Linked DNA regions of Sus scrofa. The protein of the gene in region 2 interacts with the protein of the main gene of each other region in a biochemical or structural test. Links are inferred from orthologs where the notes say so. Each region holds a gene or a part of one and is shown on either strand. Other genes may lie near its edges.

Region 1 (6,015 bases), on a different chromosome or scaffold from region 2:
GTATTTTGTCAAAATGTTAGAAGGAATAGCATATCAAGTAGGTAAAATAATGTGTGCTAAAGCGTAACTATGGCATTTAGGAATGGTAAGTGAAATAAATATAAATCACAGTTATATTTTAAGGATATTGGGACCTGGCAAGAGATGAGACTGGAGATGTGTGCCAATTTTGAAAGGTTTTGTTTGCCTTGCTTCTTGCTAAATAGTGTACTATATCAACCCAGAGAAAGTCAGAAAAACAGTAAATATTTTTGAGCATTCCATCTCTTTAGCTTCTTAAATTTAATGTCTTTAGAAATAACATATATAACTTGTTTGCCTTCTTTTGTATATGTACCTCATGTGAAGTTAGATTCTGTCACTGATTTATTGTGGGTTTTTTGGTTTACTAAAAATGTAGGTATTTGAATTTATGACTGAATCACTAATGAAATTTATTTTCCTCTGGGTTATATGCTAAAATTTTAAAACCAATCATGGCTAATCTCTTTTGCCAAGCTGGTGCCCAAGAACTTTCCAGTGACATTTGTGTCAGACAGCTGATTAACTTTGTTCTGCCATCTTACTTTATTTGTGTTGAAAGCATATTTTAATAAACTGAAATTTTTCATCAAATATTTGTGACTTTATTGGAGTTTTTTGATTGAGTTGTATTTTTTTTTTTTAAAAGAAAGGTTATCGGAGTGAACTTTGACTCTTTTTTCCCCTTTTCCTTTTTTTATTGCATTGGTAGATCAAGTCAACAAGTTTGTTATTCTAAATTTGTGAATCAGAGAATTTTAAACTTCAATTAATTTCATAGATGTGCTCACTTTTTTCTTTAATTGCATTATTTCTAACCCCCAAAGATGCTTTTATTTAATTTTCTTAATTATATAATGTTTGATTTTTTTTTAATTTAAGATGTGACTGCACAGAAAAGTTACAGAACAAATTTGACTTTCTGCGCTCACAGTTGAATGACATTTCTTCATTTAAGAATATCTACAGATATGCCTTTGATTTTGCAAGGGTAGGTGGAGTTTCAGTGTTTGCAGCTTTAATGTATTTTTTTAGACTTGAGACCACATTTAGAAAATTTTTTTAACTTATATTTTAGGACAAAGATCAGAGAAGCCTTGATATTGATACTGCTAAGTCTATGTTAGCTCTTCTGCTTGGGAGGACATGGCCACTGTTTTCAGTATTTTACCAGTACCTGGAGGTATGTATTTTTACTTTGAAAATAATATTTTAAACCTTAATCTGATTGGAAATATACCTTTAACTGAAGAAAAAAAAAAGTAGTTTTTGTTTTGGTCGTGGTTTTATTGTTTTATTGTTGTTGTTGGTTTTTTTTTTTTTTTTTTTCCTCATCACCCATGACTTGTGGAAGTTCCCAGGCTAGGGGGTCTAAGCAACCTGCGCTACTGTACTGACAATGCCAGATCCTTAACCCACTGCACCACAAGGGAAGGGAACAAGTAGATTTTTTAGTATTGTGCTTTTTAAAAAAATCTGCTTAAATTGTTGAAAATTTGTTAAAATGGGTACATATTTGCTGTAATTTTTATTTTATTTTATTTTTGCTTTTTAGGGCCACACCCACTGCATATGAAAGTTCCCAGGCTGAGTCGAATCAGAGCTACAGCTGCTAGCCTACTCCAAAGCCACAACAGTGGGAGATCCAAGCCATGTCTGTGACCTACGCCATAGCTCACAGCAATGCCAGATCCTTAACCCACTGAGTGAGGCCAGGGATTGAACCTGCATCCTCGTGGATATTAGTCAGGTTCGTAACCCGCTGAGCCTCTTGAGAACTCCTCTGCTGTCATTTTTAGATGTGAGTTCATGTTCATTAATATATTCTGTACATAAATTATTTTTATTCCATGCCTTGTACCTCCAACCCACCCACTCCCCCCCCCAAAAAAATGATGAAAATTTCAAGAAATATTTTAGCATAGATGTTCTTTATGTAAAATTAGCTGCTTTGGTTTTTGCGGAAGAGAATTGATGCCAGTGCACAAATCTCAAGCTTCTCAATCACTTTCTGTTACACAGGGTTTTAGGCTAAATCAACATAAGAAAACTGATAATAATATTAAAACTTGGGCTCAAGCTAAAGAATTAGAATAAAGCTTTTAATATTTTATGTCCACAAATATGAGACTGTACTTAAATATAGTGATTACTGAGAAATGTATGCTGAATTTATCAAGAAAATATTCTTTTAGAGGGTTTATCACAGCACCTAAGATCCTGAAGTGCTATGATAGAAGTGCTTTTGAAGAAGATACTGTCCTTTTTTCCATTGCTTTCTTTGGTTTTCTGCTTCCGTGACTTTTCAATTTTAAATTTTTTGGTACTTCTCATCATTTCTTGAATATGGATGCTTTTGCTTCTAAAGTAATTTCTCATAAAGCTGATTATTATAGCAGGTTCCCCAGAGTAGTTTTATTTAAAGCTTGTGATAAGAGACAGTGGTATGAAAAGGTTTTATGTGAATGGGTTTTGTGTACACTTTATGTCTTTAAGCCTAATAAAGTAGACTCTTTGTTGTATTTTTTTGTCAATTTTCCTCATATTAGAAGTTGGGGCAGAAATAAATACGACTGAATTTTAAATATTCTCCTCTAAAAGGAGCTGAGAGAACTAAGTGTTTTCAGGCAGTGTTATGTGAAGAGTGTTTGACCAGCAGCATTTGAATTGTGTTTTATTCCCTCTTAGCCAGTGAGGAAGTATGTTCTGTTGTTACATAACTTTCCAAGGGCTAAGTAGCAGAACTAGGATTTGAACCCTTTTCATTGCCTCCAAAGATGCCACCTTCCAAATGAGGCTTAACACTAATTTTTGTGCGAAGAAATGATTTAATGAGAAGCAGAAGGAGGGAACTTACTGGATATAAGAAATGTTATATATTTTTTATCTCATTGGTGATTATACAAGCATATGCATTGATAAAAATTTATTAAGTTTTACCCTTGCTATTAGTGCCCTTGATGCTCTTTTTATTTCTCAGGAATGAAAGAAAAATAAAGGGAAAAATAACTTTGATAATGTTAACATCTGAATGCTCCTGAGGATTTTCTTAGTAACACAAATAAATAAAAGAGGAATAAATGGGGAGAGATAAATCACCAAAAAGGTGTTATAATTACATTTATTGAAGTCAAGTCCTAATAAATGTTTGTTCTGTACAGCAATCAAAGTATCGTGTTATGAACAAAGATCAGTGGTACAATGTATTAGAATTCAGCAGAACTGTCCACGCCGATCTTAGTAACTATGATGAAGATGGTGCTTGTAAGTATAATGTAATGTTTTACCATGAAAATAAAATTCTTAAAACTATTGAGAACATACATCTATGTTGCATTACCATAAAGAATTTAAACTTCCTCAAAGTTCCTGTTGTGGCTCAGTGGTAACAAACCTGACTAGTATCCATGAGGTCACTGGTTTGATCCCTGGTTCCGCTAAGTGGGTTGGGGATCTAGCATTGCTGTGGCTGTGGTGTAGGCCGGCAGCTACAGCTCCAGTTCACCCCCAATCTGAGAACTTCCATGTGCTGTGGGTGTGGCCCTAAAAAGACAAAAAAAAAAAAAAAAAAAGAATTTAAACTTCTTAACAGAAGTTCTTATTTAATTATGTGGGAAGTGGGGGGGAGGCAGATAGAGAAGATAAGAGAGCAACATTATCAGATCTGTGCTGGTATATGAAATGTTTTTGATTCCTTGGTAGCAGAGCATTATAGCTAAATTTAGACTAATTTCTATAGCTAGAAGCTAAAATTTTGCTTTTTTCCTGCCTTTCCTGGCATTTTTCTATATAAGAAAAGGCAGTCATGATTTTAAAAATAGGAAAGCAAAGCATCAGCTACAATAGCAAAAGCTTTAAAGTTAATATCTTAATACCCGTTCCCCATTGGCAAATAATATCAAAGTAACTTCCCTCAGAAATTATTGAGTAAATATGTAGTGAAATATTTACAATTTTTTAATCCTGCAAATTAAAATATCCATACCCTTCAGCAGGAAATTCAGAATGCCATAAAATAGATCTTTGAAGTAATGATAGATTAAAAATGCTCTAGAACTATGAATTTCCCACCATTAGTTTGGTTGAATGCATTGTTTTAGTGTTGTGAAGGGTTACATAAAAAAGATACATTCCTATAAATGGAAACTGAAATTATGGGCATATTTTTGTGACACTGAAGAAACAAAATACTGAGTAAGGGACAACATTATTTCTCCCTATGTATATTGTCTCCACCCTACAAAATAGTATAAAATTTAATATTTTTAGAAATAATACCTTGGAGTAGTAAACTGTCAGTCAGTAAACATATGGTCTGCAGATGTGTTTCATGTTTTGTGTCAACATTATAACAGATTTTGTGTAAAAATATAGCTTCTGGATTTGTTTGAAAAATTAGAATTTATTGAATTAGGCTGGAACCAAGTAGTGGCTTATGTTGGACTTGTTTTCCAATGTGCTGGTCCATAGTATGCCAATATCTGGGTTGCTTTTCAGTTGTCATTTATTACTATGCTACTCTGCTATTTTTTGTACAGTAGAGAAATACGTCTATCAAAAGCAAGAGAAAAAGTAAGGCCACCAGAAGGTTCTGTGTTTTGAGAAAAGGGCAAGCATATTCTTTGTGGTAATGAGTTTTCCTACATTTACAAAAAAATAAACTCTGAGTTCATTTAACTTGCCTATCTGGGAGTTCCCACAGTGGCTCAGTAGGTTAAGAACCTGATGTTGTCTCTGTGAGGATGTGGGTTTGATTCTTGGCCTCGCTCACTCACTTGAGTTAAGATCCTGTATTGCTGTGGCTGTGCCATAGGTCTCATCTACAGCTCCAATCCAACCCCTAGTCTGGGAACTTCCATATGCCACAGATATGACTATAAAAAGGATAAATAAAATAATTGCCTGTCTGACTTCTATAAGTAAATGAATTTGAATTTGAAACCCCTGTAATATAAAAATATCTTTTTACAGTAGTTTTTAGGTCAGGTATTTATTAGGTACTTGCTTTGTGTTCAGATAGGTCCTGTTAGGTCCAGATAGGTTACTGGAACAATATATAGGCTCTAATAGGGCCACTCCTTTAACAAACATACACACTTCCTGATGAGGTAACAGAAATACTGCATTAAACACTTTTCAAATTGTTTGATTATTAAATGGCAGAAAGCTCTGGGCAGTCGGAAAAGGGGTTAACTAGGTAATATTGACCTGCTCATTGGAGAATTTATGAACCACTTCAGTCTTGAGAAGAGGTTTCTACAAATACCTATTGTGGAAAGTCCCTTATGTTGGAAAAGACTAAGAAGGCACCCATTAGGTAGAAGAGGGAGGCTGGAAGCAAAACACCGGAAGAAGAGAAGGGTCAGCCCCAATCATCATCATAGGGTGTGTGGGGAGTTGTTTTACAGTTGGAGAGGAGAGTTCACTGAATTCTGGCAAAATTGTTTCTTTTATTTCTAGGGCCTGTTCTTCTTGATGAATTTGTTGAGTGGCAGAAAGTTCGTCAAACGTCATAGCAAGAACTGTTGTGAAGAAAATGCAAACCTTTTGATCCCCACGCATGTACAAGCTAATGAAATTGTGAAGAAAATGCAAACCTTTTGATCTCCACGTGTGAACAAGCTAATGAGATGAGGAAAAAAAAATCTAAAGGGTGCATTTTTATTCATATGAAAGACTTCTCATAGTACTTTTTTTTTCCTTTTTTTTAAAGGAAGTTTTCTTGTTACATGTGATGGGTATTGAGCCACACCTCTTCTGAGACTGAATATTGAAGTTTTTGTTTTGAGTTATGTTTATAACATTTATTTCAGAACAATAAAGATTCAGATTTGTGACAAAGGCCTTAAAGTAAAGATGTCCCTTGAGTGTCAGAGTGGTATTTATTTTTGGAAATTTTAATTCTTGTTTTTTAGAGTTCAGTTATACCAGGAATTTAAGGAATTTTTAAGATTTTAAACAGTTTTAGTATTTGGCAGTGTAGTCTGTGGATGT
Region 2 (6,941 bases):
TTAACGAATCCGACTAGGCACCATGAGGTTTCGGGTTTGATCCCTGGCCTTGCTCAATGGGTTAAGGATCTGGCGTTGCCGTGAGCTGTGGTGTAGGTCAAGATGCAGCTCAGATCCTGCGTTGCTGTGGCTCTGGCCTAGGCTGGCAGCTACAGCTCCAATTGGACCCCTAGCCTGGGAACCTCCATATGCCATAGGAGCAGCCCTAGAAAAGGCAAAAAGACAAAAAAAAAAAAAAAAAAAAAAAAAAGATTTACTCTTAAAAACAAGGCCTTCTTTACTGTGCGATTCCCATGGTAAAAAGTATTTTAAGGAATTCCTGCTGTGCTGCAGTGGGTTAGGGATTCAGCTTTGCCACAGCTGTGGCTCAGATCCCTGCCCTGAGAAGTTACATATTCTGCGGGTGCAGCCAAAAAAAAAAAAAAGTAGTTTATACACCTTATGTGTTCTTTAAAAAGAAATTGACAAAATGATTTTAAATATTTATTCCTACATATGAAATGGATGAGAAACACTTTCCCTGAAATCTGTATTTTTACTATCTATATACTTGTATTGATAATACTGAGAGCATTCATTGTACAATAATAACTCTTCTCAAAATTGAACATCAGTTGAATTAAAGTAAAAATACTTAACAGATTTCAAAGACATTTCAGGCTTATTTCCTTAATGACCAATTTTTTTTTTTTTTTTTTACTGTTTTAAGTCCACACCCTGGGCATATGGAGGTTCCCAGGCTAGGGGTCGAATCAGAGCTTCAGCTGCCGGCCTAGGCCACAACCACAGCAACCAGGATCCAAGCTGCGTCTGCAACCTATACCACAGCTCATGGCAATTCTGGATCTTTAACCCGCTGAGCGAGACCAGGGATCGAATCAGCAACCTCATGGTGCTTTGTTGGATTCGTTTCCGCTGTGCCACCCGGGAACTCTCCTTAATGGCCAATGTTGACTTCATGTCAAAACATCAATGGTTCAGCTGTTAAGTGTTTGCATTGTTCAGTTTTATTTTTAAAGCCTATCTAAATGCGACACAGCATTTAAGCACTTTCCAATAGATTATCCACTTCCACAATAAACCCGGCTTACTCTTCTGGCCCAATATTAACTTGTAGAGAATACCAGGTTGGAGAAAATAGTCAGGATCAGGAATACACGTCTATCCTGGTAAAGATTCACTCAGGTTTCCTTATGTATGTGACTAATGTGAAACGCTTCTACTTTTCATGAAATGGCCATAATTCTAAACATTAGTTTCATATTTGAATCATGCAATGATTCGCCTCGGTAGCAAACAAAAGCAGTCTACGGAGTCTGGAATTTGCTGAATTCACCACTTCATTAACCTTCTGAGATAATGCGAAGACAAAAAGACTAAAGAGCTCCTCTGTGTTTACACATTCAAAAAATTTTATTCACTCACTCTTACAAAATATGTACAGAAAACACACGTGTAATTACAGCTTCACACTCACCAAAACGACCCCAGGTGGACCAGCAAGTCACTGGGCAAAGCACGTGCTTACACTGAACTATTTACCGACGCACCAAAACTGTTGTGTCTTTACCAACACTTAACATGACAATGCGTTCAGTGTTTATACTCATCCAGGTTCAAAACCATTTAAATATCTTTTAAAAAGTTGTCTTTGGATCAATCAGCAGCTCTTTAAACATCAGTGTTTACTACTTAGCATTAGTTGGCCAAAACACATTTTTTGCAATTTGCCTTTCTTGGGGGAGAAAAAGTTCCGAAGTTAAAAAATTCAAAGACTGTGACTTATGAAGGGAAAGCAGCGTGTTATCCAAAAGGAGGATCAAGACTAGGAGAAAAATGTGGTGGTACCCCCAGGGAAAGACTACAGAGCACGAGTTATTAAAGTAATCTAACACGACCTTCACATCGGGGACCTCTGGCCCTGCGCATCTCGGTTAGTATTTTTTTCTAGGGAGGGCGGCTGCAGCCGGGCGAATTAGGCAGGAAAGGCAGAGGAGTTCGGAAACCACTGGTGTGAGCCTCCGGATACCGGGTGGGGACCGAGGCTGGTCCCGAGGGTCAGCATCGCTCAACCCAGGGCCGGCAGCGGCTTCCCGGGCCGTGCGGGGAGCGTGAGCGGCTCACACTCGGGACAGCTGGGAAGACGTCGGAGGAGGCGCGGCGCTCACAGCTCCGGCTCCGGGGATCGCGCCAGGCCGGCCGGTCCCGGCGCAAAGGGGGCGCGGGGGACGTGCGCCTTCCAGCAGCACCGCGACCGCATCCCGCTCGCTCGGTCTCCGGCCGCGAGGACCGGGAGGCGGCGACTGGGGCGAGCGAGGGGAGCGGAGGGAGCCGCCTGGCGGGCCCGCCCGCCCTGCGCGGCCTCCCCTCCCTCGGAGCAGGAGCGTTGGCCCCTCCGAAAGCGCCCGCCGGGTGCGCGGGGCAAACGGCGGGGACCGCCCGCGCTACCCGCCCCGCCCCCGCTCAGGCGCCAGCGCCTCCGCCTCAGGCTCCGCGGGCCCCGCCGGCCGGCGCTCCACTTACCCGCTGCGAAGCGATTTACGTAGCGGGCCTCGTCACTGCTTACGGACGCGAGGAGGTGGGACGAAGAGCCCCACCGGGACCGGCGCCGTCCCACGTCGCCCCACGTCAGCGCTGATGCTGCCGCTGCTGCCTCCCCGCCGAGCGCGACCCAACGCGGCCTCGCGTCGCCTGCCCGCCCGGCTCCGCGCCGCGCAGCGCCTGCCCCTTCCCCGGGGACGCCGGGGGAAATCCACGCTCGAACCCCGCCCCCTGCCGGCCACCGGCGGGAGTGCGGCGCAGACAATCCAACAATTGAATAGAACGGGGTGGGGAAGGGGAGGCATGAGAGGCGGGGCCTAGTGGGAGGCGGGGCATGGAGGTGAGCCAGAGCTTAGGGGCGGGGCCGGGAGGAGGAAGTAGGGTGGGTGGGGAGGAGGCCCAAGTTTGGGGCGTGGCCTAAGGCGCGGCCCGGAAGCCGGAAGCTGCTTCGCGGAGCCTGCTCCCGGAAGCCAATCAATTGGAGAGTAATCAAGGTTTTCCAGGCCTCTGTGTGTCGGTCACCTGTCCGGGCGAGCTCAGCCGCCAGCAGAGGCCCGCGAGAGCATCCTGTGGACCTCACCTCGATGTCGCCGGACGCGAGCCCCGGAGGCCCTACCCTCTGCCGCCTCCCCGGCGACCTAGTCTGCGCGGGGACACAGCGCTGTCCCTACCTGCGATGTGACGGAGGAGAGGAAAGCTGAATAGCTGAAGCCCAGGTCTGGAACAGAGGAGTTTCATTTTCGTTCACTTGGAACCCGGGGCTTTACAGTAGGAGAGACGGTCATCTTTTGTACACCCACTCTTAGGAGCAGGTCACACCGGGAACCTTCGTCAAGGACACTGCTTGAAAAGTTGCTGAGAAAAGAAAATAAAAGCATAATCCACGTAGCGCAGGAGGAAAAGGGAAGCTTTGTGAAATATTAGAATTCCAGTGGAGTTCTCCCAGTAGAGGAAAATTCTGAACTGTTCAATGCTAGATTATGGTCATCCCGAACTACTCTCAGCTGTAATGTGTACTAGCAGAGATAAGAGGATAAAAACCTGGTAAGTTCACGTCTTTCTTTCCCCATTGGCAGAATTCTGAAATTCCTCCTTCTAGAGCGATGGGCAATGCCTGTCTCCACTTCCTTATAAAAATTAGCTTCTTAATGAGGGACATTGCCAAATTAATTTTTTTAAGTTAAATTTAGAAGTTAACCAAATCTCTTTTGTGTGTGTTGACACAAAAAGAATGTCTCTAAGTAATCAATGTAGCTCATTTTAGCTCAGAAAAAAAGGAGTTATCGTAAAGAGAAGAAAAAAGTCTAGACTGCTAAAACCGAAAAATCCTAACTTTCCTTTTGGTCAAGGTTGACCATGTGCTGGAGGAACAGATTTTGAACTTCAAGTGATTTGGGGGAAATCGTAATCACTCAAAAACATTGTTCTTCCTTACCTACTTGTTTATTCTGAAATTTCCTTTACCAAAGTATACAGTCTTTATAGTTAGATTCCTTTAGACCAAGGGCTTAAAATGTAAGTATGGCTGCTACATCAACACACACTGTGATATAAATGTCATATCAAATCCTTGAGAGCAGGGGGAAGAGTACCTGCTCTTCTTGACAGAGTGACAGAGTACCTGGGATCTGAAGAGAGAAGGCAGGAAAGGTACATGGAGTTTCCTTTTGCTGCTATGACAAATTCCCGCAAATTTAGCGGCTTAAAACAGATGACTTAAAAGTTCTATGGGGTAATATCAGGAAATCATCGATCTCCTTGTCTTTTCCACCTTCTAGAGGCCATCCGCATTCCTTGGCTCATGGCCCTTTGCCTCCTTCTTTAAAGCCAGCGATAGCTGGTTGAGTCCTTCTTTTGCTGCCATCTCCCTGATTCTTTCTTTTGTTTCCTTCTTCCACTTATAAGAACCCTTGTGAGTTCATTGGGCCCACTTGGACAAGCCAGGATAATCTCCTCATCTCAAAACCAGGGAATTAGCCACCTTAATTCCCCTTTACCATGTGACCTAATATGTTCACAGTTTGCAGGAATTAGGATGTGGATATTTTGGGGGCGTTGGGTTGCGGTGTAATTCTCCCAGCACACAGCACAGGATTCCAATAGAAGCTTGAGCTCCTGAGGCAAATCACCTACCTTTCAGGGTCATCCCTTGCAAACAATTCAAGCATTTGATTAGAAATGCCAGTAACTGATTTTTCAGTTTCTCATATTTATGCTTTAAGATTATTGTAAAATCTGGAGTTCCCATCGTGGTTCAGTGGTTAACAAATCCAACTAGGAACCATGAGGTTACAGGTTCGATCCCTGGCCTTGCTCAGTGGGTTAAGGATCCGGCATTGCCACGAGCTGTGGTTGTAGGTTGCAGACACGGCTTGGATCCTGTGTTGCTGTGTCTCTGGCGTAGGTCGGTGGCTACAGCTCCAATTAGATCCCTAGTCTGGGACCCTCCATATGCCGTGGGAACAGCCCTAGAAAAAGGCAAAAAGACAAAAAAAAAAAGATTATTGTAAAATCTAAAATGAGATATCAGAGTTCCCAATGTGGCACAGTGGGTTAATGATGTGGCTTGTCTCTGGCATTGCCAGTTTGATGCCCGGCCCAGCACAGCTGCTGGAACTGTGGCATTAAGTCACTGGGATTTGATTCCTGGCCCAGGAACTTCCATATGCCGTGGGTGCAGCCGAAAAATTAAAAAATAAAAAAATAAATAGAAGGATTGTTCGTTTGGAGTTCCCGCTGTGGCTTGGTGGTGTGAGCACTGGGATCTAGGTTCCATCCCTGGTCATAACCACTTTGCTTTGAAAACCAGGTAAGGGCAATTCAGGTATAATTTGTCCTTTTTCCTTTATTGCCAAAAGGAGTATTTATACGAGCAAACTCACACTTTTTTTTTTTTAAACTATTTTTCTTTTTCTTTTCATTTATTTATTTATTTACTTTTTTGTCTTTTTGCTATTTCTTTGGGCCGCTCCGGAGGCATATGGAGGTTCCCAGGCTAGGGGTCCAATCGGAGCTGTAGCCAGTGTCCTACACCAGAGCCACAGCAACGCGGGATCCGAGCCGCGTCTGCAACCTACACCACAGCTCACGGCAACGCCAGATCGTTAACCCACTGAGCAAGGGCAGGGACCGAACCCGCAACCTCATGGTTCCTAGTCAGATTCGTTAACCACTGCGCCACGACGGGAACTCCCAAACTCACACATTTTGATTTAGCCTCCAGCCCTCTAACCTTTTAAATCTTTGTTTCAGTAATTGGTCAGGATATATATTTTTCTCATCTTTCATAGCTTCCTACATATAAAATACATTGTTTCATGCCAAAATCTTAATTTTTTATGTGTGAAATGTTTTTATTACAGTGTTTGTTGATTTTTTTCTTTTTTTTTTTTTTTTTTTTTTTTTTTTTGTAAAGAGGCTGCCTCTTTTAGGAGCCGGGTTTATGGCTTTTAATAAAGCTTGTGGGAGTTCTCTAATGGCCTAGGAGGTTGAGGCTCCTATGTTCTCACCGCAGTGGCTCTGGTTGCTGCTGTGCAGTGTAGGTTCAATCCCTGGCCCAGGAATTCCCACATGTTGCCTGTGTGGCAAAAAAGGAAAAAAAAAAAAAAAAAAAAAAAACCTTGTGGCTAGCACTAATTGTACTCCCTTTATTGTATAAAATTATTTAATTTTTTGGAACCTAAATCCCGGCATCATATTTAACCTTTGTTAAGTGTAACACTGTTTCATTTCTAGAACATGAGTGTACCTTTAAGAATCTTGATAATGGGAGTTCCTGTGGTGGCGCAGTGAAACCATGAGGTTGCAGGTTTGATCCCTGGCCTGGCTCAGTGGGTTAAGGATCCAATGTTGCCATGAGCCATGGTGTAGGCCAGTAGCTATAGCTCCGATTCGACCCCCTAGTCTGGGAGTTCCCATCATGGCTCAGCAGTAATGAACCCAACTAGTATCCATGAGGATGTGGGTTCAATCTCTGGCCTCACTCAGTGGGTTAAGGATCCGGCATTGCTGTGAGTGGTGGTGTAGGTCACAGACCAGCTTGGATCTGGCGTTACTGTGGCTGTGGCATAGGCCAGCAGCTATAGCTCCAATTTGACCCCTATCCTGGGAACCTCCATATGCTTCAAGTGCGGCCCTAAAAAGATGACAAAAAACCCTGACAAACCTTGATTCTGTATTGACCTATAAAGTGAATTAATTTGACATTGATCTATTGAGTGCCTAGTATTTACACATCACTATGCTTACCTAAAATTTCTTTAACACAAAATAAGAACTAGAAGAAAATAATGCAAATCATATACCTGATAAGAGATTAATACACAATGTATTTAAAGAACTACAACTCAGAGTTCCTGTGGTGGCGCAGTGGTTAATGAATCTGGCTAGGAACCATGAGG

Evidence for each region. The genes of interacting proteins can lie anywhere in the genome.
Region 1: of the proteins of CUL2 (region 2) and DCUN1D5, one has a biochemical effect on the other in vitro, tested with the Homo sapiens proteins (2 studies listed by BioGRID, with this or other methods). The link is inferred for Sus scrofa from reciprocal best matches to the Homo sapiens genes CUL2 and DCUN1D5.

Annotation. Positions count from the first base shown.
Region 1 is NC_010451.4:33,678,623-33,684,637, reverse strand, and holds the end of DCUN1D5 (DCN1-like protein 5), read left to right. Parts: intron 1-903; coding exon 904-1,012; intron 1,013-1,099; coding exon 1,100-1,204; intron 1,205-3,182; coding exon 3,183-3,410; 3' UTR 3,411-3,571; downstream 3,572-6,015. UniProt on the Homo sapiens protein: Contributes to the neddylation of all cullins by transferring NEDD8 from N-terminally acetylated NEDD8-conjugating E2s enzyme to different cullin C-terminal domain-RBX complexes which is necessary for the activation of cullin-RING E3 ubiquitin ligases (CRLs).
Region 2 is NC_010452.4:57,825,453-57,832,393, reverse strand, and holds the start of CUL2 (cullin-2), read left to right. Parts: upstream 1-3,005; 5' UTR 3,006-3,585; intron 3,586-6,941.